3 linked regions of the Rhinolophus ferrumequinum genome follow. The protein of the gene in region 2 interacts with the protein of the main gene of each other region in a pairwise test. Links are inferred from orthologs where the notes say so. Each region holds a gene or a part of one and is shown on either strand. Other genes may lie near its edges.

Region 1 (8,360 bases), on a different chromosome or scaffold from region 2:
AGGTGAGATAGGCATATCCAAGGCCAGAGAATAAGACCAGAAAATAATGTAGCTTCCCTGATTCTCAGCCAATATTTTCACCATTTATTCATTCAACAAGTAGTTTTGAATATGTTTTATATATTAAGCAATGGGGATACAAAGGTGAACAAATTAGAGTCCCTGAACTCACGTTTAGAGTTCAACGAAGAAGGCAAACAACTTAATACAGTAAAATGTAATTCCTATTATGATAGGGGAGATACAGTGTGCTATAGAAATTCACAGGCTTTGATGTGAGAGAAAACACAAGACAAATCCAGTACAAATTCATCAATTTTAGGAGGCGGAGGGAAGTTGTGAGATGAGACTGGAGAAGAAGATAAGCAGAGATTAGTTCACTTTATTCTCTGGGCAATGTAAAATCATTTTCTATGGTTTTATGGAGGAGATTCATGCAATCCAATTTACAGTTTTAAGATTGTACTGCGGGAACTGCATAATGGGGCAACTGAGTATCGTGAGACCAGTTGAGAGATGTGTTATGGTGGTGGCCTGAACTAGAGTGTTGACAGTAAGGATGGAGGAAAATGAAAAGAGAAACATTCAGGTTTGAGCAAAGATTAGGGAGGGGGCGGGGTGGAGATGAGAGGGGAAAATGAGGCATTTAGCCCTAATCCTGTATAATCTGATCCAAATCTGGATATATTTGACTCAAATGGATATATTCAAAAGACTTTTGTATATATAGGTCTGGTGCTTTAGAGAGAAGCCAAGTTTGAGATCGATTTGTGAGTAATCATGATTTTTTACTAATGGGAATTGTAACTATAAGGAGAATAAAATTACAGAGAGAGAATGTGCATAGTAGAAGAGAAACTGTGGAAGGAACTCCAACATTTGAGTAGCAGTTGGGTCAAGCAAGTAGGCCTAAAAAAGAAGACTAAGATATGGCTGAAGAGGGAATAAAAAAAAGGGGGTGGGGAGGATAATGTTTTTTAGTGACTAGAGTGTGTTAGTGTGTTTCCAAAAGAATGGAGTATTAAACATTTTAAATGGCACAAAGAATTCAAGCTACAAGAACTGAAAATGACTGTTGATTTAATAGTGTTTCTCAACTTTCTTTTCATTATTACCTGCTTTTTCAGATTTCCCTTCAATCATACCCCTCCCATAAAAATTTTAGTACTACAGTATATCTGTATATCTCTTTATGTACTGTAAACATATCTTTGCTTTATACATAAAAAGAGTATGATTTTTTCGTTTGTTTCACAAGAGGCAATTTTTGTCCCCACTGAGATATATGATTTAACACAGGACACTGGTGATCTTTATAAAAGTAGTTTCAGTGGTCGTTTAGCTGGAAACTAGATATGCTACAGTGCGCTGATAAATAAATAGCATGAAGTGGGAAGAAAATAGATAAGGCGAGTAGTTGATACATTCAAGAGCTCTAGCTGTGAAGGGGATGAAAAGACAAGAAAATAAATAGGAGTGGTTCATAAAATTAAGGAAGATGATTTTTACATGCTGAATGAAAGGTGTGAGTAGAGGGGAAAGACTGATGATGTAGGAGAATAACTGAAAAAAAGAAGACCCGGAGACAGTAGGAGAGAATGGTATTGGGAGACTAGGTGAAAGGATTTGACCAAACGGCAAGATTTGTATATTTGGTTGCAGGAAGATGATGGCTTTTATTTTCTGTGTGTAATAAGAGAGGTCATTTGTAGAGGGAGAGAGACTACAAATACCATTTGCTACCCATGAATAGAGATATTATTGAGCTTCTTAAATATTCTTAAAAATATCTAATCAGCAGGGAACTCCAATAATATATTATGTTGACTATTTAGAAACATTGTAAAAATCCTAAGATTCAGTAAGAAAAGCTAACCTTATTTCAAAAAGAGCTTTCCTACTAAAGATATGTCAGGTAATTCTTCATTTACCTCATTCCTCCACTTTTCCTATGTTTTCAATGGAAAGTGTCCTCCTTTGTTTCCAGAGCTAATTCTTCCATTTGTAATTTTGATCCCATTTCCTTTCGTCTTTTCCAAGGTCTTTATCTCCTCTTTTTGAATCTTTAATCTTAGACATGGGTTACTTGCTTTCTGCACCAAAACTTAATGTATTTTGTATTCTTTAAAAACAAACAAACCTCAAACCTTTTAGGGATCTTGTCATGCTCAATAATCTTTTGCTTCATACTCCAAATGAGTTCACTTGCAGTCTCTCCTCTCAGTAACTGACTCTATTCAAGTCGCTCTCTCAAATGGCTAACTTCCTAATCAACAAATCCAACAACCTACTCTCAGACTTCAATTTACTCCTTTGACCCTTGTACATTTCATGGTAACGTTCCTCCAAACAAACCAAGTACTTCTTATCCTCTTATATGAAACTTCACCTGTTTGGGTTCTCACCTTGTAAGTTTCTTTCCGGATTACTTCCCACACTTTTTTTCTTTTAATCTTTCTACCATTTCCATCTAAATCACTGTTTCAACCTCGATATATCCCTAAGTTCCACAAAATTCCTTCTCCTCATCCGACGGCTCCTAATTCTATAGTGGCACCACCTACTTAAAGTATAGGCTTCAGGTTCAATCCAAATCTACCAAATCCAACCAGCCACATCGCTCATCACTTTTCCATATTCACTCTCTCCTGAAGAAGTGCAATCCCCTCCTCACTGTATTCCCCACCCCAGACAAGAGGTCCGCTCGGCTCGGTCAGAGGTTTTGTTCTCCAAAGCAGAAGCCTGGGGCTGACGTCCGAATCGTTGGCACTCCAGCTCACTATGGGTGACAAGACCTTTTTCTCGCGCCGGAGAACCCCAATGAGCCTGAATCTCTGGTTTGGGGCCTGAAAACACTGAGCTGCAGGTGCACCGCTCCCTTCCGGCCCTGCTGGCAAGAAAGCCCGGAAGGCCGGGAGCGAGGCGCGGTCCCGGCCCACAGCACCGGAGACGCTCCGGTCCGCAGTCCAAGCTGGAGTCCGGAACCCCAGCTATTCAGCTTACTCCCCAGGTTCCGAACTGTCCCCTGACCTCAGACTCCCCGCCCCTCACACTCACCCCGACACCTGGGCCTGTCAGTGATTCGGCGCCGGGTCCTCTCCGGACCGAGGCTGAGGCAGCTGAGAAGACCGTGAGGACCCCGCAGTTGGAGTGCCCAGTAGATTGCCTGACTAACAGCTTCAAAGAAACCAACTAGGTCTACCGATTTGGAAATATTAAATAAGCGGGAAGACATTGAATGAGAAGAAACATGTCTCTTGCGGTTTAGGATATAAATCTTTTAGATCACCCAGAATCTAGAAGAATGGGGGGCAATCTCACACCATCTGGATTCAGGCGCTCATCCGCAGCCTAACTCAGTCTGGGGTCCCCCTATAGTTGGGTGGGCGGGGCCATGAAGGGTTTGTATATTAGCTAATGGGTGGAGCCGAGAGGTAGAACCAATGACTGTGGGTGGGAGAGGCATAGACTGGGAGGAGTCGGGAGGGCGGGGTTAGTAAAAAGAAGGCGGTGATACGAGAGGGGGCGGGGCCAGAGAGTCGAAGGGGCGCACGCCGGTGCCTAAGTGGGTTGGGAGCGTAAAGATGGCCGCGGCTGAGCAGGAGCCGAAACCCAAAAAGCTGAAGGTGGAAGCTCCGCGAGCGCTGAGGTGAGCGCTACCCTAGGAAGGGTAGAGGGTGACGGCACCTGCCGCGACCCGGGCCCACGTGTAGTTGTGCGGCCCTGGCGCTGGGTGGCGTCCTCGCTGCCGGCATGGGGCCAAAGTGCAGAAACCGCTGCTCCGGGAGCTGCCCGCAGGGCTGCGATCTCTTGTCAGGTGCCCGCCCAGTTTGGCTGAGTCGCCTCGTGCTCCGGAGCGGCTCCCGCCGCCGGTGACCAATCAGAGCGCCGGTCGGGGTTGCGGAGCCGGATGAGAGCTAAATGCAGGCGCCACGTGGGAGCCCTCTCAGGCTGGGCTGGTGAGAGACCCGGGAGAACCGGGCAGGACCAGCGCACGGTCAAACGCGGCCATCTCCTCTTCCCTGTGGGGTGACGAGGAGGAGACCCAGCGACTGCTCTGCCCTGGGGCAAAGACATAATTCTTGGGGATTTTTTCGTAAATGTCGCGGAAGGACGACTTGACCTTCCTTTTCATAGAGACTGATTGCTGGCACCTGTGAAGATCATCTGCCAGGGACTCAGTCCCCGCCTCTGAGGCTTTGTGGGGGCGGCCTTTGGCTGAATGGTTAGGAAAGGCTGATTTTTCTTTTTTTCTTTGTACTTTTTGGCAGCAATGGGGAGAGTTCTGCGTCCGACACCTGCCTCACATGTGATTGATGTCGCAACTTTCACTTATCAAAAGCTGTTTGTTAAATATACCTTCCTAATAAGTATAAAGTGCAGTGTGCACAGTCCTTGCTTTTGCAATAATCGTTGGAAAGCAATGATTTTTCTAATTAAAAAGGGACATATCGAATTGATTTAAAACTATTGGGACACGCCTGATTATACAAGAGAAATCTCATTTCTTCCAGCATCACCCCTCTTTACCTCCGAAAGAATGAATCATTCATAATTGAAAAGAAAGGGTCTCTTAGGGGTTTGGTGGTGTGTTCATGCTGTTTTGAATGGATGGTGACCAAATCCCTGCCAGTGCCTTTAATGTATTTCTACTACCGTCAAAGGGTTAATGTGCCTACCTCATACGAAGAAAATAAACTTTATTTTGTAACAACTCAGGATGTTCTATTTTTATTTTAAGTTTACAAACTATAGAGTAAAAGGGGCTTTTGAATTAGACCTATCTGGGTTCGAGTGCTTTCCCTATTGACCCATTATTAGAGTGTTTCCTTAAAAGTCACCTCTTTTCACAAAGTTTCCTCTAGTAAATTGGCAGACAGATGCAACTTTTCCCTACTATCCTACTAAACAAACTGCCCTTAGATTTTCCTATGTTAATCCATTTTCAAAGTGCTTTCCTATTTTACAGATGAAGAAATTGAAGCTCAAATGAAATATTTAGTTAACTGTTTGAACCCAGAGCATTTGGGTGCAAGTTCATTGTTGTTGGACTCTACTGTGTCTACTTTTATATAACCACCAAAGGTATACTTTCTGCCTATGCATCCTTACAACGAATGATAAATAATGTTTAATACTTAAGTATGTATTTGCTAGACACTATATCAGCACTGAACCTATTTTAAGTCATTCAATTCCACAACAACCTTACAATGTGGGTACTGTAATTATCTCTATTTTACCAAGGAGGAAACAGGCATAGAGAGATTAAGTAATTTATCAAGGTCACTTATCTAGTAGGGTTGGGATTTTAATCCAGGTAGTTTGATTCCAAGTCTGTACTCTTAATTACCATGCTATACTTAATTAACTTCAAGCAATTTATTCCAAAATACTAGTGAATTGTTAACTCAGTTTTTGTTTGTTTCTCCACTACTTTTGCTTCTGGGTGTTTTTTGTTGTTGTTGTTGTTAGTGTACGTAACTTTTTATGTTGTTGCAATATGTGGGCATATGATACAAAATAATTCTTAAATATATATAATATATTTTGTATATCATTAATGTATTTAACACTTGTAAAAGTCTTTAGGCCACTGAAACTCATTTTATACACTATCTACTTAATGCCACCTGTAGATTTAAAGTTAAAAGATTTAGACACTTGAGGGCTGGGACAAATCTCTTAATTTTGTGTGAAGATGTTTCAGGATTGGCTGTTTCTACTTTCATTATATTAGTTTGGCTTTAAGGGTTGAGTGGGATTATACACTGAGTGGTCAGACTGCATGCGTTATTTATGATGACTTGCTTGACAATTCAGAGGCTAGCTATCAGTTTTGGTTAACTTTTAGGGAGAATGACTTACAAAGTCTAAGCCTAAGTTAATGTGTAGATCAGTCAGTGAGGGAACACATAAGTTTATGAGATATTTGTAGATGCCAGGGAAAGGATTTAGACTTTTGTGACAATTTCAGAATTCTGGAGTAGCAGTGCTCAACCACGGGAAATTTTGGAAGTGTCTGGAGACATTTTTGTTGGGGACTGCTACTGGTTCTCAACCAGAGGACATTTTGCAAATGTCTGGAGTCATTTTTTTGGAGCGTGCTATTGGCACCCCGTGGGTAGAGTTCAAGGATGCTGCTAAACAACCTGCAATGCACAGGAAGCCCCCTACAACAAAGACTTATTCAGCCAAAATTGACAATAATAGTGTTGAGATTGAAAAAACTCTGCTCTAGGGGGAGCATCTGACAAGTCTAGCCTCCCTTTCTCAAATGGGCATAGTTTTTCTAACCTGGATTGCTTTTCAGGGTAGCAGTTACTAAAGTTGCAATAAATAAGCAGACGCTAACATGTTTTCACATTGAGTTGGGGATCAGACGGGAACATTAATTGAGACATTATACTTGGTGCTGTATGTATGCTATATCATTTAATCTTCCCAGCAACTTGTGAGGTAGGCGTAACGATCCCTGTGTTACAGGTGAGGTATTTAGGGCTGAAAAAAGTCTAGAAGAATTTTTGGGAACTGCTTTCTAGGTGAAGGTGCTCCACGATGCTTACCTATATTTAGGACGTCTTAGTTTTCTCTCCTTTGGAAATGTCATCCAAGTTTATTTCTTTAGCGGTCACCTCTGAGAGGATGCAGTTCCTTCCAAAGCTTGTTGAGCATATGCCAAGTCTGTTCTTTCAATCAGTCTTTCAAGGGCCTGCTCTTTTTAGCATGGTGCTAAAAATTAGGTACCTACATATAGAGAGGTAAGACCCAGGTAACACTCTCCTGGTGGAAATGAGTGGGGTTTGGGAAAATGATACCTGAGCATTCTGAAAGATGACAAGGAGTTAACCAGGTGTGAAGTAGGGTGTCTGGCTTTATAGGAAAGTTTGTTTGGAGGTAGAGATGGGAGAGAGCTGCCCAATGGAGAACTACATATGGTTTGGTCTGACTGAAGCAGAAGGTGTATGGGGTCCAGGCTTTGTACTGGACACTCTTCACATGTGTGATCTTTCTATCTCTATATCCTTTAGCTTTCAGACCCTAATCTTACTGTCTGCTAAATATCTCCTTCTGAGTGTCTTGCTGACACTTCAAAGTCATATATATCAAACTAAATCCATCTGTTGACCTAAATCTGCACCTTCTTCCCTGCTTCCTGTATGTGTAAATGGTACCACTAACTTATCTCTCTAAAGTTTGGAACCTAGTTACTTGATTCCTTTTCCATCCACATAGAGTTATCAAGTTGGTCTTTTTTTCTTCAATAATATCTCATAAATGCCTTTCCTTTTCATTTCCTGCTGCCACATCTCCAGTTTAGACTTTATCTTGCTTAGACTTTTTATTGACCTCTTAACTAGTCTCTCTACCTGCAGTCTCAAGTTCTGCCTAATCTTCAGGCCTAGCTCTACTTAGTCATCATAGCAAATATTTGTAAGCTCTTAAGTTGATGTTAGGAAGCGTTCAGCCCTAAGGGCCCACAACATAACTCTTTCTGACATTAGCAATTAAAGATTATTCTGGGTCATGATTTTTAATAATGTTAAAAAGGAAACAAATGACAGTTCTCCAATCAATGAATATTGAGCTTTTCTCAAATTATTGCTTCCTAACCATTCACTTTCATGGCCTCATTTTATTCTTTCACTTTGTCTCCTACCTCATTCAAGACCTCGTGTTTTAAAATTGCATTGTAAACTTAGGAAGAAAAATCTGTAAGTATCTTAGGTGACCAAGCAATACCTTTGATCCCTTCTTCTAAAACACATTTTTTTCCTCTTTCAGAAAAATTTCTGGAAGATTAAACTGAGCACTCTGTTCCTGGAGGGGTCTGTTGTGAGGATTACATGAGAAAATATATGCAGATTGCAAAAGAGGAAGGATGAGCATGTGTTCTTAGTGTGTTGCACAGTGCCTGGTCCTTAGGAGCTGTTCAATTAATGTTTATTAAATGAATCATCAGCACAGCGTTGAGTGGGACTGATAATCTTCACTTTTTAGAACTTGCATTTTTTATAATGCAGCCTACAATTGAGTTTGGCTCTTTTTGGATGATATTGCATGCTGTTCACTTATATTCATAAATTTAATTCTTTAAGATTAAGGCTTTGGGCTATGAAGGAAAATGGAAAACAAAAGTTTCCTGAGGTACTTTGTATGAATGCCTTCATAAGATCCTTTCCTGCCGTGTTTCCCCAAAATAAGACCTAGCTGGACAATGTGTCTTTTGGAGCAAAAATTAATATAAGACTCGGTATGATATGATATGATATGATATTATTATATTATATTATACCTCGTCTTATGTAAGACCAGGTATTATATTAAAATAAGACCCAGTCTTATATTAATTTTTGCTC
Region 2 (7,438 bases):
ATATGTTTATTTTAAACGTTATGGAAACCTAAACTTTTGGTGCTGAAAGGGATCATGGAAACACTTTATCCAAACTCATCTGTGACAGGCAGTTGTGGCAGGAAACGAGGTTCCCGACCCTCTGGCCCAGAGCTTTCTACCCTATCATCCTGCGAAGGAATTAGGTGCATTATAGAAGGAGAAAATCCAGAACATGTTTTTGTGTATTCTTTAGGACTGCACTGCAGATTTCCTTCAAGTTCAAATAAGAAAAAAACAACAACTTTGTTTTGCTTTTCAGTTAACAATAACAGTCGAAATTTTCTTCAAATTCAGCATGTTTTTGAAAGGATTTGTAATCCTAAACCACCACCATAAGTACATCATAAGTTCAAAGATTCAATGCCTTCCCCAATCTTATAAAAAAAAAAATTGCATTTACCAATTTTGGCTGGGGTCTAGGGAACTATATCCACATAAACACACAGTTCTTTGCAAACTATGCAGTAAACGTGCAACCCCTTTGAAACTAGTTTTGTTAACCAAACACAGCACTTTTAAACTGGTTTGAATTGCCAGACAATTGCCCTTTCAGGGTGGCTCACTAGTATTTCCTCACTTTCAAGAATAGATAGATTTTCAAAATGAGTAACTCACTACTACCCCTTTTGCCTCAGGTAAAAAGATCCCCTAAGATAGACAGGAGTTTACTAAGCTCAAGTATCAAAAACTCTTCAAAATACCATTCCTGTCAGGAAAGGGGGTGAAAAAAATGTACAAACCCGTATTACACAGCCTTAACTACAATAAGCACCGTAAATGCCAAGTCATCATGCTCTCATAATTCCCCTATTACATTCCATACAAGCGAAGCTCTGTGAGAAAGGAAAATTTTGAAAACATAAAAAGCACTTGATGAAAAATATACACTTAAACCAGCTGGAGAAAATCTGCAGCCCACACTCCAAAGCCAGAAGCTCCACCTCCATACCTATAATTTATCTCCCGCTCTATTTTCCGGACCAAATGTTACACTGCTTCTTATCCAAATTCACTTCGCCCCATCTATAGGTAGCATGTGGGTATTGATAAAAGCTGTTTCTGATTTCATTTCATTTCCTACTTCCCAGATGTTTGCTAGCTTTTTCCCCCCCTTCAGTTATTTATGAATATGCTCTGATTTAGAACAAACAAATTCAACATGTTATATTTTAAGCTGGGCAAGACACACAATAAATGACAGCTATAAAGATAATTTCAAGATATTTCTCCAGCTTATAAATAAGTTTGCCACTTAGGCAAGATTTGGACAGGCTGCTATGGTCTTACTTTTGAAGAAAGCACTTAAAAACACATAACTGAGAACGTGCTGTTGCTGAAATGACCAACTAGAGGCTACTGTACTTCTCATAAAAGGGGTTGTGCTAAAAATGGACAGACAAATATCAACTATCAGCTGGGGAGAAGGAAAGTTGTCCCCAACGTTAATTCTTGGTACGAATCATTCATACACACTTCAACTACACCTCTTCAAATGCATGAATGAAAACGTTAGCCAGAATCAATGCTATCTGCATCCAAAACTCAAGATTCTACTTTCCCATGAATAGTATTCTTTTATATCTCTCCAAATCAAGCAGCGAACTACGAAATCAAGTGGTAAACATCATAAGTGGAAATGTTGTCTAAACAGGATTACAGATCTTCCCGTAGAACTTTGAATTCTTCAAATATGAAGGCAAAACATGAAACAGATACCCTCAAATATGTGACTACAAACAGTAACCAAGTTGTCTCTTGAAATTCATCTTTAAGAATGCAGAAATAATAGACCACCTTTTGATAATCTGCATAAATATTGGTTTTATAGGGAGGTAACACATTTTCAAAGAAAGCAATAACAGTATTTTCCCCCCTGATTACTAATTGTAAAACTGTAAGAATTAAAACCTGATTGCACATAGGCGACTAAAAGCGCAGTTCACTAAATGTCTGTCATAAGAAAGCCATCTAGTGTTAACATTTAGAAATGAAAACTGCAGACAAAAGAGGCAAAGAAAAGAGAAATCTAAGTGACTATTTTGAACTTACTGAGCAAACCTATGAGAATCACCAAGGTTCTTTGTTTAACAAAAAAAAAGGCCATCCTTACCAAAACCAAGTCCAAATCTCAGCAAAATCCAAAATCACTACTGTTTTATTTTAACCAAAATCCTGTTTGGTGGCCACAATCCCGTGACCGGTGCACTTGATGTTCCCAGTACTCGCGCTGGAGTCATCTCGGGCTGAATTAATTTAACCGAAGCAGGTTAATGATGACAAATACCTCCCAGAGGGGTAATGCCAACTTGTTTTCCCTTCCCGAGGAGCCTCCTCGCGCTCCTACATGATGAACCGAAATTGATTCTTCGGGTTTGCGGCACGGTTGGAAATTCATCTGAGGTGCTCGTGGGGATACTCCAAGGACACGGTCAAACTAGCTTTAATAACGTGGGGACGCGAACGGGACCCGAGCGGAGGACGCAGCAGACTCGGCCCCCGGGGCGGCGAGAGGGCGTCTGACTCCGAAGGCAGGTCGCGCCGAGTGAGGGGGTCGCCGGCCGCTCGCGGTCCTACAAAGCGGGACCGGGCGCGGCGGGCGCTCGGGGCACCATCTCCCCGGGAATCACCCGCAGCAAGTTCGGCAGGAACCTCGCCCAGCGCGCCGGTGCACCGCGCCGGGCAACCTTTTATCTTTTCTCTCAGGTTAGTCACAGAGGAGTCGCCGGGCGCCCGGAGGAGGTCCTCATTAGTGAGCGTGTCACCAAGACGGAAATAACCTTTCAGGCGATCGATAACTTTGAGAACGAGCGGCGGCGGCTCCGCTTCCACCGGGCTCGGGAGCGCGGGCGCGTCTGCGAGCAGGACCCCGCGCCCCGGCTCCCTGCGCCCCAGAACTCCCGGCCGCCAGCCCCCCAGGTGCAGCCCCTTCACCGCGGGACAGTCCCCGCCGAGACCGTCCCCAGACACCACCAGCAGGCTTCCATCCGCTCGCCCCGACACGCACCTCAGAGACGCGGACCTCCGGGACCAGCTACAGCCCGCGAGCGCGCGGAGCGTACCGGGGCCGCCGCCTGGACGCCAGCCGCCCCGCTCTGCCCATCCGCCCGGGCTCTGCCTGCCCCGGGCTCCGGCGGGAGGCGGCCGGACCCGCCGGCTGAGCTGGAGCTGTCGGCCTGCGCTCGGGCAGGCAGGCGGCCGAGGCGGGCGCGCGGCGCTGCTCCTCCTCCGCCGCCGCCGCCGCCGCCGTCCTCCTCGGGCTCCACCGGCTCCTCCCGGGCTCTGGGTCTGCAGCGCCGGCTCCCGACGCCGCCGCCCGCCCGCCCCGAGGCACCGCCCCCCACCCGCGCCGCGGCCTCCCATTGGTCGCTGCCTGCAGGCCCCCTCGGCCCCGCCCCGCGATTGGACTAGGGCGCCGTCCGTCCCACGGGCCCGCGGGCTCTGTGAGCAGCCAGTGCGCAGTTCCCAGGCCCGGGTGCGCGGGAGCGGCGCGTCCCGGAGGGGCTCGGGCTCGGTCCTGGGGAGGGAGCTGCGGCCTTGAGGCGGGTGCAGCCTATCTGGACCCGCCCCGAGGGAAAGCCGTCGTCGTCCTCCTCCGGATTGGTTCGCCCCGCTGTCAGGGGTAAGTGAACCCCCGAAGCTGGCTCCAAGCTCCCGCGGCGCAGTCGCGACCCTTTCTGGCCTCCACTCTCTGGAGTTAGGAGAATCGCGCCCACCTGGAGCTCGGGACCCCGCGCCGCGAAGTACTGAAGGTCTCTGGCCGAGAAGACACAGGCAGCTGCGGGCGCTGCGCGGACACCTGCCCCGGACGCCGTAGAGTCGCTGAGGCTGGCGACCGTCCAAACCACCCCATCGCCATCGCCGTGTTCACAGGAAGGGGGCAGAGGGGCAGCCCGTACTGTGTGCCAGCCCCGGGGAGCGCCCCCGACCGCTCAGGCGAAGCCTCTACTGTGAGCCGGCTCCGAAGGGTGCCCCCAGATCACCGAGGTGATGCCCCTTTGTGTGTCGGCCCAGGTGGTGTCCCAGCCCCCGGTGACTGTGGTGGAAGGTTGCACAGAGAAAGGCATAAATGTTAATAAATAGAAGGTTCGAATGAGGTTAGGTAGGTGCCTGTGCGCAGAAATGCTATGGAGATGAGACCTTTAGGAGTCAGGAGGGAAGCTGAAAGGGGCTCGCAGTCCAGGATCTCCCGGACCCGCTCACCCCGCCCTTCCCCTTGGGCAGCCCTCAGCCCCAGGGAGGAATGCTCTTGGATCTTTATCCAGAAGAGGAGGAAATCAACTTTTTATACCTATCTTCTCTACTTTCCTAGGAGGTGTTGATTGCCCAGGAGGAAGCCTTACTTGAAACTAACTATTCATGCAAATTGCTTGAAACTTGCATTGGTTGCTGAGTTGAAAGGATCACAGGAGACTGACTCTTTTAAGCTAGACTGGAGTTGACTCTGCCTAATGACACAGTGGGGGTTACAGCCTACAGGCAGGAATAGACTGGTGTAGGTAGCCTCTAACTCACCTTCCAGGGGTTCCTGAGCCGGCTTCACGTTGCACCGCACTTCTTGAGACTGGATTCAGGGCTTTCAGCTCTGCCCTTTCTAGAGGTGAAATTCTTCCTGTATAGATAATGTCTATACTTCCCTATCACAACACGCCCTGGAACAGAACCCTGTGAAACATTTGAGGCAGGCCCTCCCATGCTATATTTCTCTGTGATCTAAAGCATGTACACATTGTAAAATCTTTTTTATCTCTTTTAAAACACGGCTGTAATATATGGGAATGGGTATAATAAAACATCTCAAAGAGTAATATTATGACATGACAAAATTCTTGCCTTCTCCAGGTTTGAATGGGCTTCTCAATTGTCCCTTCATTCTCAGCCTTTATAAAATTGTCATTTATTTATTCAACAGTTATGGAGACCCTGTCGTGTTCCAGAGGCGCTGGGTGTGGGAGGTATAAAAACGCATACGACATAGGTTCTGCTCTCCAGGAGCTCCCCATCTCACACATTGTAAATGCTGTACGCAGGTCTGAACAAAATCCCACAGGGGCAGCCATGGAGGGACATTTTCTGGGGCACCTAAAGAGGAAGCACTTCTCTTCATAGCATGTTGTCACAGTACTTCTCCCACTCTCGTAATGGCACATGTCATTGTCTTTCCCACTGTTCTATAAGGGCCATGAGGAAAAGAAAGTCTTCTTCCCCAGGGTTTTGACCCCTGAGGCAGCGACTGCCTGAGCCAATTGTCCATTGTCTGATAGACACCTTTGGTGTGTTCCTTAATGCCCAATACATAATGGTCTTTTGGGGAAGTCAGACCAGACACTCTCAATGATGACATTCTCTTCCTCTCCCACCTTACTACCATCCCTGTTCTTGGGGTTTGCAAACTAAAATTGAAATATGCCAAGTCCTTTGGTCACTAACAAAGTTGACAGCATTTTTAAAAATGCTTGTAATTGACAGTGCAGAGTCAAGAGGTGTGTGTGTGTTTATGAAAGTCTGCGAGAGCTGACTTGCCCAGAGCCCAGATGCCATGCATCCCTCCCTCATCAGAATGTTCCTGGCCTCAGCACACCTACTGAGCCCCTGTGTGGTGCCAGGTCAATGGGGACAGTAGCAAGATGGCCCCGGGCAAGATCCAGAGGGTCTTGTGGCAGACTGTAAGAGACACGCAAGAGACAAAGCTCAAGAATGATTTTGGATCTTCCCTACCAAATAAAATATTCTAGAAATATTATTAAATTTAACGCTCGTGTCCTTTCTCGCTTGCTTTTATAGGGAAAGATAAACAGGATAGAGATTGGAATTGCGGCACCTGTTAAGATAGTTTATCATTTTGGCCTTAGGATACCTTACTGAGGAAAAAAATATTTTGCTATTAAGGCTATACATTTTGCTAAAGTTTTAAAGAAAAAATATCAACTATGATGCGTAAAATTTGTATTTGCCTGAAAACTAGAGTGAACTATCACATGTTTATCTTCTCACTTTCATGTTCCCTGAGGTGAAGACTTCTTAAGCCTCACTTTTTCTCTTTTCTCTTGTGAATTTCATCACCCTCCTGGAGTTCCTAAAGAAACAAACTCAAGGGATTAATTCTCTTTACAACTGTGAATAAGCACATCGACTCCTTCTGAAATAATTCCGTCAGTCTTACCTGTTTTTTTTCTAAAAGCTGTAAAGAGGCAGAGAGTTCAAAGACATACCAGCTGTCTACCTTGTTCCACGGTTTTGAGCTTGTTGGCTGACCTAGCTTGGTAGTTGTTTCTATTTACCTCTGAACTTAGCAAACCAGGAGTTTTATTTCCTTGACACATTACAGCAAGAGTCTACTTACAGATGCTATGCATGCACTGCAGTGAACCTGAATGGCTAAGTTAAGTAAGGGGTTCGATTCCCACCATCATTTCCTCCTTTCCTTTTCTACTTTCAGCTCTCTTTTTTAAAGTGTTTCTTTTACGTCAAATGAATATTCATAATTTGCAACAAATATGTGTGGATTGCATGCTACATTCGGGGCATTAGGGTAAACTCAAAGCACCCAGAGGGTTGTACACCAGAATCATAAGGAACAGAACTTGGGAGAAAATGCTCAACACCACCAATGAGTGGTACCCACAGGGAAAGCAGGAGAAACAGCCATTGGCAGGCAAAGCTTGGGCAATGGGGAAGGCTTCACCTAGGATATCAAACCTGCTTAGCAAGGAAAAGACAGCCCTGTTGGTGAGAGGAAGCACAGTGGGCAAAGACACAGGAGCCAACTGTGCCAGGCGTGTGTGGGAAACAGCCATGCCCTATGGCCAGGCACAGGCTTATTCACTTACATAACAAACACTTACATGGTGCTGCGTCCATGCCAGGTCTCATTTTCTTCTTACAGGGGAAATCTTCCCAGTGGATGAGCACATGGGCACAGCTTCACCTTTCCTTCAAAACAGAAACATCTTGCAACAGAAACTTGTGAAGTAAGAAATGCCAAGTTCTGCAGCAATTGAAAAAAAAAAAAACAAGGCTAAGCTGCAGCTGAGAAAGCTGGGTTACTGGCCCTGGTATACCAGTAGTCCTGCTAAAAATAAAGCACATGTTCCTATTCAAATAGAGCCCAACAAATAATGTAAGAATTATCAAATAATATGCTAAATATCCATAGAAGCCGAAGGAAAAACTCTTGTAATAAAAAAAAAATCAATTTTGCAATTATATTTGGAGGACTACTCAGTGCTCAGTTCTGCTCTGGGGATGCAGAAGATTATTACACATAAATAACAAGACCATCCTCAAGGAAGTACAATACAGCTGAGCTGGGATTTTTACATAGGACACAATTCTAAGAACAGTGCAAAGGCAGTGCATTAAAAATTTAGTATTATACAGATATGTGCCACGGAGATCTAGAAAGGTAGTGTTGATGGAG
Region 3 (8,374 bases), on a different chromosome or scaffold from region 2:
TTAGAAGAACTCTCCTTTTAAATTAAAGAATTAAGAATACAGCTGCGCTTAAACCAAATCATTAACCAGGCTGGGAGAAACACAAAGATGAACCGCCTCAAAAACCAAACTCACAATGAGACCAATCTCAAACATTTTAAATTGTCAATTCAAAGCAACCCAGAGAATCCAGCTAGAAAGATACTGTGATTAAATTAGCATTAGTTGTCAAATGGCAATCTCTTCCCTACAGTTTCCTAATTCTCTAGAAGTCCTTTGACACCTCTAAAAGTCAATGATTCATTACACCTCATTACATTACAACTCAATGAAATACCACACAACTTAATGTAAATCTACATATGAACAAGGCAAAATAATTCATTAATTTTTTTTCTATTTCTGACAGCAACTGAGAATCCTTGAAAAGTGAGCTTTTGACTTAATTTTAATGCTTTCAGAAAAAACACATTTGTGCACTCATGAATTTCAACTATAGAAGTTCAACTTTATGAAGAAAAATTCATTTTCTTTTTTCCTGTAAGTTTTTGCCCTTTGAAACAATAACTGAAGCAGGGATATAGACACATCTACATGTCAAAATCACCTTTTTGAAAAACAGCCAAGAAGCTCCTTAGCTACTATAAAATTTGAATACTAAAAAACTATTAGCTACATTTCAATAACACTTTTCAAGAAGTATAACAGTATTAAAAAATTATAAAAACTAAAAAGAAAGTGCCTGTGTTGGGGAAAAAAAAATCTGTGAAAGGCTAAATACACTAGTAATGAATCAAATTTCCCAAGAAACCTAGAGTACTAATTACAAGTCGTTTTAAAAAAGAACTGGTTTATCTCCTCCATTTTTAATTATTCCCCAAATTGAATTCTTCTTTTAAAATGTAGTAAATAAAAACTTAATTTGCAAAGGCCAGAAAAGAAAGGCCTACTCCTTTTTAACTCCTTTAACATTTCTTACCAAAAATACACAAGCTTTATTAATTTGTGCCATATATAAAGTCTTCTCCAACAATATGTTTAAAATATTTCTTGAGTCTCTTACTTTTTAAAAAACTGGAAATAAATTTGCTCACAAGCAAATCCAGATCATCATACACACAGAGGTATATTTCGAAGTCTACCAGAATGGAATTAATCTCCTAAGCAGATAGTGGTTAACAGTCACCTAATTTCAGTTCAGGGCAGTAAATGGTATTCTGTATTGACAGGTTTATATTACGATCAACAGTATCGCGTAATTCACACCAGAAGACTTGTTTGCAAAGTACTAGAGGATGAAGGAGGCAACCTCTAAAGATTAAATGATATCATTACTGTCCATCAGGCATGTAACACTTCCTGTCTCCCTAGATCCAAATTGTGACTGATAATTGCTCCCCTCCTTAATTAAACTGAAACCTGCACTGCAGTTTTACATCTCAGAGAAAATATTCCTTCTATCCCTTCCCCATTTAGATTTGAAATTATATTTCTGCATTTTAAATAGTACGAACGAAACGTAGACTAGTTGGGAGGAGCCCCATACGGAGTTAATTACACCACTTCCCGGACTGTAGTTAGCAACTGACAGTTTCACACCCAAAACAGTATCGTCATCTCCGGCGAAAGCTTTGTTTGCAAAGGCAGCGCATTTTCTGTAGCTGGATCTGCAAGTTGGCCTGTTTTATTCTGAGGGGAAAAGGGGACTGTGGAAAAGGGAGTAAGCAATAAGGGAAGGAAACTAGCCAATGATTTGGACCCCCTAATTGTAGGACAATAATTTCTTGCTCTCCCTGTCGCCTCACCCCACCCACCCAAAAAAACCGCACACACATACACCAAGTCAGCTCTCTGTGACCATAAACACAAACGGGTTGGGGCTCTGCAATCCTATCTGCGCAACAAGAGCAGGGAACGAGCTCCGCGGGTAGGAAACAAAAGGTACTCCTCCTATGAGGCCCCAAAGAGAAACCCTTAACCCAGAAAGTCTTTCTTTCCTCCACGACTCGGAGGGGTTCCAGAATCACCCACTCGTTACCGACCTACAAGGCCTTACTTCAATCAAGCAGCTGCTGGTCCCCTTCTAAACGGAGCCCTCCACTACTGCACATCCCTGCCGCCCCCTATAGGGCCGCCTCGTACCCTATAACCTCCAACATCACCGTAAGTCCTTGCCGCCCCCATGGTCCCACATTCCCTCGTCTTCTACGGTATAAAGCTCCTCCGAGTACTTGGCCCGCTCCCTCTACAGACCCCGCCGCGCACAGCCCCATATTCAGACGCCTCCACCCCACAGAGCTGCCGCCTGCCTTCCTCCCCAGGGTCCAGCCAGGTCTTAGGCCTCCGCCTCAGTGTCCCCCACGCCGGCCGAGAGGCTTCCCGCAGCCCCGACCTCACCCCACTCCCCGCGGCTCGGGCCTGAGTCCTACCACCGAGGCCACACCCGCTCGGCAACCTCGGTCCTTTATTGTTGACTCGAAGCTCCCAAAATGGCGGCGGCTCCTTCCTCCTCGGAAACCTCCGCCCGCCCCCAACCGGCCCCTCTCTGCGGCCTCCTCCGCCCCCGCCCTCGCTCTGCTGTAAAGGCCGAGGCCCGAGCCGCCCGCGCCCGCCGCTCCACCCGCCGGCCGGCCTTACCGCCGTCGCTGCCCGCTTTCAGGGCTCCGCCGAAGTCACCGCCCGGGCTGAGCTAACTCGGCTCCTGAGCCCCCTCCCTCGCCCGCCGCCCCCCTCCCTCCCTGCCTCGCTGCCGGCCTCCGCATGGCGGCGGCCGCGACTCCTCCTCCACGCAAGATGGCGAGAGCTCAGCCACCGCCGCTGTGCCCGCCAGGGCGTCACGGCCTCTGCGGCTTCGCGGCAAGAGAATAGGGGCCGCGGAACCTCTCCCAAGAGAAAATAGAGAGCGGTGCTCTCACACCAACGGGCACCCAGCGGGCCCAGAACTGAGGGAAAGTTGAAGGGGAAGTACGGTTTCTTCTCAGAAGGGAAAGGAGGGCTGCTTTTTCCACAGCTGAGGAGAAACGACTAGGGAATGGTGACTGCGAAGTCCACCCAGCCTTCGCCCGCCCCCCAAAGTGGAAATCGAGAGTTGTGACCAGAGAGGATCTGCTTATTCCTGACCCAGGACGCGTTCGGAGAACGGCCTCTCCCGGCAGCGAATCGGGGAGGGGAGCGCTGACCTGACATCTCCCGCGGGCCAGGGAAGCTGCTGCAGGACCAAAGGGGCCGCGTCCGTCCAGGAACATGCAGAACTAGTGGCCGTGAGACGCCGGCGCGCTCGAGGGAGGGGGCCGGAAGGGGGCCCGGCGGGGACTGAAGGACACGACGAGGGGGAATTGCGCTGGGGCTGCGCCGGGAGGGGGTGGGGGGAGGGGGATGGGGTCCTAGGGCAACGACCTTCCTCCCGGCCCCAATAGGCTATCTTCAAAGAAAGAGGGGGCGGGGAAGGCCGGACCTCCCGCAAAGGAAAGGAAAGCCGCTGAGGAGTCGGTTATAATGGAAATAAGAGTTCTGTAGGGACATGGGGAACCGGAAGGCCGAGGGTGATTCTTTCTCCCGCCTGACCCTCACTGAAGGATATTTATGTATTTATTCTTATAAATACTTTTTATATCCTAATGTCTCCGTTTCCCTTAACAAAAATAACAGGAAAATTGTGTTCCAAGTAAAACAAAAATTCGAAGCTAGAAAGCTGTCAGGGAAAAGAAAAACCCGGGCCTCACCCGGCTGAGAGACTGAATATATAGGACAATGGCCAGACCGTGTGTGACTACAGGACCCCGACCCACAACCTCTGCTGCAAGCAGCTGGTGAAGACAAACAACAGCCCCCGCAGTAATCCGCCGAGAATGGGCAGGAATCAGTCATTGACTGCCAGCTTCCCCAATTTTTGCCCCTGCTTCCAACTCGGGACCAATCAGAGAAAGCCAAATATGTTCCCCAAACCAATCACACGAGACGCTTGGCTTCTAGGTACCGTAGCAGGCCTCTAGCTTCCCCAGGCCAACACACTCCAATCAGAGCATACGTGCAGCTTTCCCCTTTTCTCGCTGCCTGCCCTGAGTGTCCACGAAACTCAGTGTAGGTGGCTGGGTTCTTTGCTATAGCAAACTGTTCTTACCTGTTGGTCTTTGTTTATTTCCACACTGCCAATGGAAAGGTGGTAGAGAAATGTGAGGTTATTTTTGAGTTTAAAAAGACTCCCCCTACAATTTTTTAAATTCTAAAGTTGTAGCATGTCATCTCCCAACCAGATTTTAAAATACCCACTCGTGTAAGGGAATAACCGTACACCTTGTGTCCATCCTAGAGAGAGGTGGCTGGCTAGTGGTTGGCTCCTTTAAAATGTTAAAGTGTGAAGTCTTGTTTTCCTGTCTTTCCAAGTTGCAGGAATGTGAAGGGGAGGAGGGCAAGAAGTGAGTGGGAGGGAGAGGAGCCTAAGAATTTAAAATCAGGCTACTCACTGCCTGGTGGGATCTCTCCCTAGAGCACTAAGAAATGAGACCCGGCAAAGGAAAAGGGTTTGCATGCATAAATAAACTGTTAACTTCCAAAGGGGCCTGGTTGAAGTCCTGACCAAAAAAAACTGAGGGGGCAACTAAAAGTAAAATATGAAATAGCTGCCCATTCTCACCTAGGAATCCTGCCAGGGCTAAAACTTTTAAAGATTCTGTGTAATGTTCTTATAAGATCAGATATTCTTATAACTTATTTATGTCAGCCTTTTTTTTTTTTACTGCTCTTGTGAGAAGCATAGACGGCATAAAATTAAGCTATGAAAGCTTGGATCTTCTGGGTTCAATTTTAGTAGTTGATTGGGGTCTAATCCAACTATCTCAATGACTTTTTTGTCCCTAGTTCACACAGATTAACAAGAATCAGAGAATATGACACTTAAGAAATATAGATGAATTATTTGATAATGTACACAGTATCCTTACATATACAAAATGTGTATTTTAAAAACACTGCATAAATCTTTTAGTTAATATTCAGTATAATAGTTTGGGTGATCTGTGGTAAATATTGTTTCTGTAGAGTGTGCTATTCCCAGTGAAGTCACCTACTTATTGTAATAAAGTGCTTCCTGAGATGTATTGACCATTTTCATTTTGTTGTTAGTCACTCTTCCCTTCTACACTACTTTTTGGATTTTGAACTGTTAGCTAAAGTGTTAGGCCTGGATTGTTGGCTGGCTTCTAGAGAATCTGTCCGTAGGAAAGATACTTTTAAAAAGAAAAACATTCACAAATAGAATTGAAGTTTTCAGTATTTCTGTTTAAAACACAACAGGATTCTTTTTTTCTTTTTTCTTTTTTTTTTTTTGTAAGAGTGAAATGTGACTGAAAAATGCTACTTGGAATTCAATCACAATAATGGATCCTCCCAGCAAACATTGTTTGCCAGTCTCACATCCTAAAAATAACCAAAAGAAAAAAAAATCACAGGTAAATTTACACTTGATTTCATTTTAACTTCAATTTAAAATATTTAGAATCTAGAATTCCAAGTAATTTGAACTTGGATATATTTACATCTGTGATACTATCTTAAAATCTAAATGATTTTGTCATGCTAAAATGGATTTCACACTTTTAACTTTCTGTATATTTTTTAAGGAAATGTAATAACTTGTTTAACTCAAACTACAAGCAAATGTGTTCATTACTTAAGGAAAAAAATTTGCTCATACCATATCCTCAATAAAATGATTATATCACATCTGGCTAAGCTTTATAGTACAACATTTTTCCTCTTCCATGATTTGCAGTATAACATTCTGATTTCCAAAAGAAGTTTCAACAGATAAAATTATTTTCCAAATATGCTCTAGCAACATCGGGTAGTCACTAACCAAGACTAAAGGCTAATGAACCCAAGAAGCTAAGTATCATTTTTTTTTGGACTTCATCGCAGGTAAAAATTGCCTCTTCAAATTATACACCTGAAGAAAATGCAGCATCAGCCGACTGAGGGCTGAGTAAAGATATCCTCAGAGAAGTGCAAGTACTACACTGGAGTTAATATATACTAATAAGCAGATGTCTTTAATCACTGAGACACCTCACCGGGCACATTTTGTTGGAATAAATGTTCCACTTCTCGAGTAAACTCAAGTCGAAAAGTAGGAAAGCAATATTACAAACAAGAAGGGGAATGGGTGGGTTAAAAACATTTTCTCCAAACTGCCAGGTTTAGTTTGCAGAATTTATATTCCTTCGGACAGATATTTCCCTATTCCCAGGGCACCATAACCAGCTAGTTCAGTTCACCAGGTATCTTTCTGCCTCATCGGCTCCCAGCATTGTTTACGTTCTGGTCCTCACCCAGAGGATTGTAACTATTCATTTTGCCTATTCAGTTTTCCTAAAATTACTGTCCACCAGCAATTGTAACTGATTCATTAATCTGAAAATAATATGCAGCTGAGAAGATACCGAAATCTGGACACTAGTTCTTCAGGTATAAATTTAATATGGTCTGCTCAGATCAAGGAAGAACTGACGCTGTCCCCAAGTACAATGCCTTGGTCCCCTGGGTACTTTCTGTGTTTGTTCAGGGGCAGTTGCTGACGAGTAACATTGATGGGGGTCCATGGCAATCTTGTGGAATTGTCATAGAGTTGATATGTGTTCCATGCCTCCTTTGTATGCAGGACCTTGTAACAAGAGTGTATTTCTTTTCTTTAAAGATTTTTGTTAAAATAGAGTTAACCTACAATATTATATTAGTTTCGGTGTACACCAGTTATTCAACATTTATATACCTAAAGAAGAGATCACCATGGTAAGTCCGCAACCATCTGACACAGTCAACGCTATCGCAATATTATTGACAACATTCCCGATGCTGTGCACTATATCCCCATGACTTATTTATTTTATAACTGGAAATTTGAACCTCTTATTCCCGTTCACCTTCCCCATCTTTTTTCCCCAATGATGACAATTTATTATAATCTGTTGGCAGCATTAATGATAGACATTAATGATATTAGAACTCTGTCTCCATAGAAGTGGGCAATGATATGTAGCCATTATATTGGGGAACTGTGTGCATCACTGTGGGGACAGAGCCCCAGAGAGCAGTTTCCAGGCTCCCAGCCTCACGTGGAAAGGTGCTGGCTCGGGTAATAGATGGCCATCAGCTGTGGCTAGTTGGCCGTCAGCTGTAACCGTTGAGCCATTGGCCACTGATATAACTGCCGCGGGCTGCGTTGGGGAGTCGAGTTGAGGGGAGTCGGTCGGTTGGCAGAAAAGCAGACAGCAGGTCGCACGTCGTGTGAATCCAGCCTCCAGTGAGACCATAGTGGTATGACCCCTACCTATGGCTCTGCGGGTGTTCCTCTTTGGCCTCACCACATCCTGCGTTCTTATGTGGGGAGCGGGAGCAGAGACCCCGCAGGCCGCCCCGCACGATAAATGGCGTAGCGAGCAGGGTGTGGTGTCGGCCGAACCTCTCCGGAATGTCCTGGAGCAGTTTATACGTATAAAAGCTCAGTTTCGTAAGCAGGGTGTGGTGCCAGCCAAAACCTGCGGAAGCATGGTGGAGCGGTTTGTGCATGTGAGAGCCCAGCTTCGGGAGGCCCACGAGGAGCCACACCAGGAACGGGAGGCGCGGTCTGCCTGGGAGACTCAGGCCTCCAGCTGGCACACCACCCTCTTGGCCGTGGATGGTGTTGCCTTCATTTTGGTGGTGTGCTGCGGCCTTAGGCTCCGAGGGTTGTGGACATCTTACACGGAGGCCTCCACCCACTGAGACACCTGGCAGGTGAGCAAGATTCCGGCCAGGTAGGAATGGAGTCTGACTCTGGGCAGGAGGGCGGGTGGCCCCCACACAGTGTGTGGTGTCCGGTGGCCACTGTTCTCAGGAGTTGGACCCCCAAGGACGGGTGGGAGGCCATGGACGACTCTCCGGCCAGCGTGGAGAGGGCCCTGCAGGCTCTGGCTGAGCGGTTGCCGGAGGAGGCGAAGGCTACAGCCGGCCGCGTGGGCTGGATGTTCCTCACTGCCTTGAGTCTCAACACGGAAAATGCGCTTAATGAAATGGCCCAGGTGCCGGACCAGGTGTCCCGGTTGGAGGCACTGGAAGCCTGGTCCGCCTGTTAGAAGAGGGGCCCCACAGTGGAGACTCTGAGGCAGAGGCAGAGGAAGTGGAGGAGTAGAGACAATGTAGCTCTCAACCCCAAACCCTGCCAATCTTGAAACAAAAGGTAAAGCAGGAGCAACCTTTGGGCACCCAGGACGTTGCTGCAGGCAACCCAGCTGTGACTGAGTTCACAACCTACACCCCTTACACTCCCACTGAGTTGCAGGAGCTGGGGAGGCGGTACCGACAGCGCCCTGGAGAGCCAGTCTCGGCTTGGCTACTACATTTATGGGAAGAGGGAGCAGAC

What was found.
Region 1: the proteins of SIPA1L2 (region 2) and AP3M1 interact in binary tests that used the Homo sapiens proteins (3 or more experiments, as listed by UniProt). The two-hybrid records come from large-scale screens. The link is inferred for Rhinolophus ferrumequinum from reciprocal best matches to the Homo sapiens genes SIPA1L2 and AP3M1.
Region 3: the proteins of SIPA1L2 (region 2) and DDX6 interact in binary tests that used the Homo sapiens proteins (3 or more experiments, as listed by UniProt). The two-hybrid records come from large-scale screens. The link is inferred for Rhinolophus ferrumequinum from reciprocal best matches to the Homo sapiens genes SIPA1L2 and DDX6.

What each region holds. Positions count from the first base shown.
Region 1 is NC_046299.1:51,445,677-51,454,036, forward strand, and holds the start of AP3M1 (AP-3 complex subunit mu-1), read right to left. Parts: upstream 3,318-8,360; 5' UTR 3,058-3,317; intron 2,123-3,057; exon of another isoform or gene 1,932-2,122; intron 1-1,931. Other genes in the region: ADK (adenosine kinase), read left to right, coding at 3,585-3,649. UniProt on the Homo sapiens protein: Part of the AP-3 complex, an adaptor-related complex which is not clathrin-associated. The complex is associated with the Golgi region as well as more peripheral structures.
Region 2 is NC_046310.1:24,634,707-24,642,144, reverse strand, and holds the start of SIPA1L2 (signal-induced proliferation-associated 1-like protein 2), read right to left. Parts: upstream 3,215-7,438; 5' UTR 3,026-3,214; intron 1-3,025.
Region 3 is NC_046294.1:88,088,456-88,096,829, forward strand, and holds the start of DDX6 (probable ATP-dependent RNA helicase DDX6), read right to left. Parts: upstream 3,318-8,374; 5' UTR 3,159-3,317; intron 3,150-3,158; exon of another isoform or gene 2,617-3,149; intron 2,506-2,616; exon of another isoform or gene 2,377-2,505; intron 1-2,376.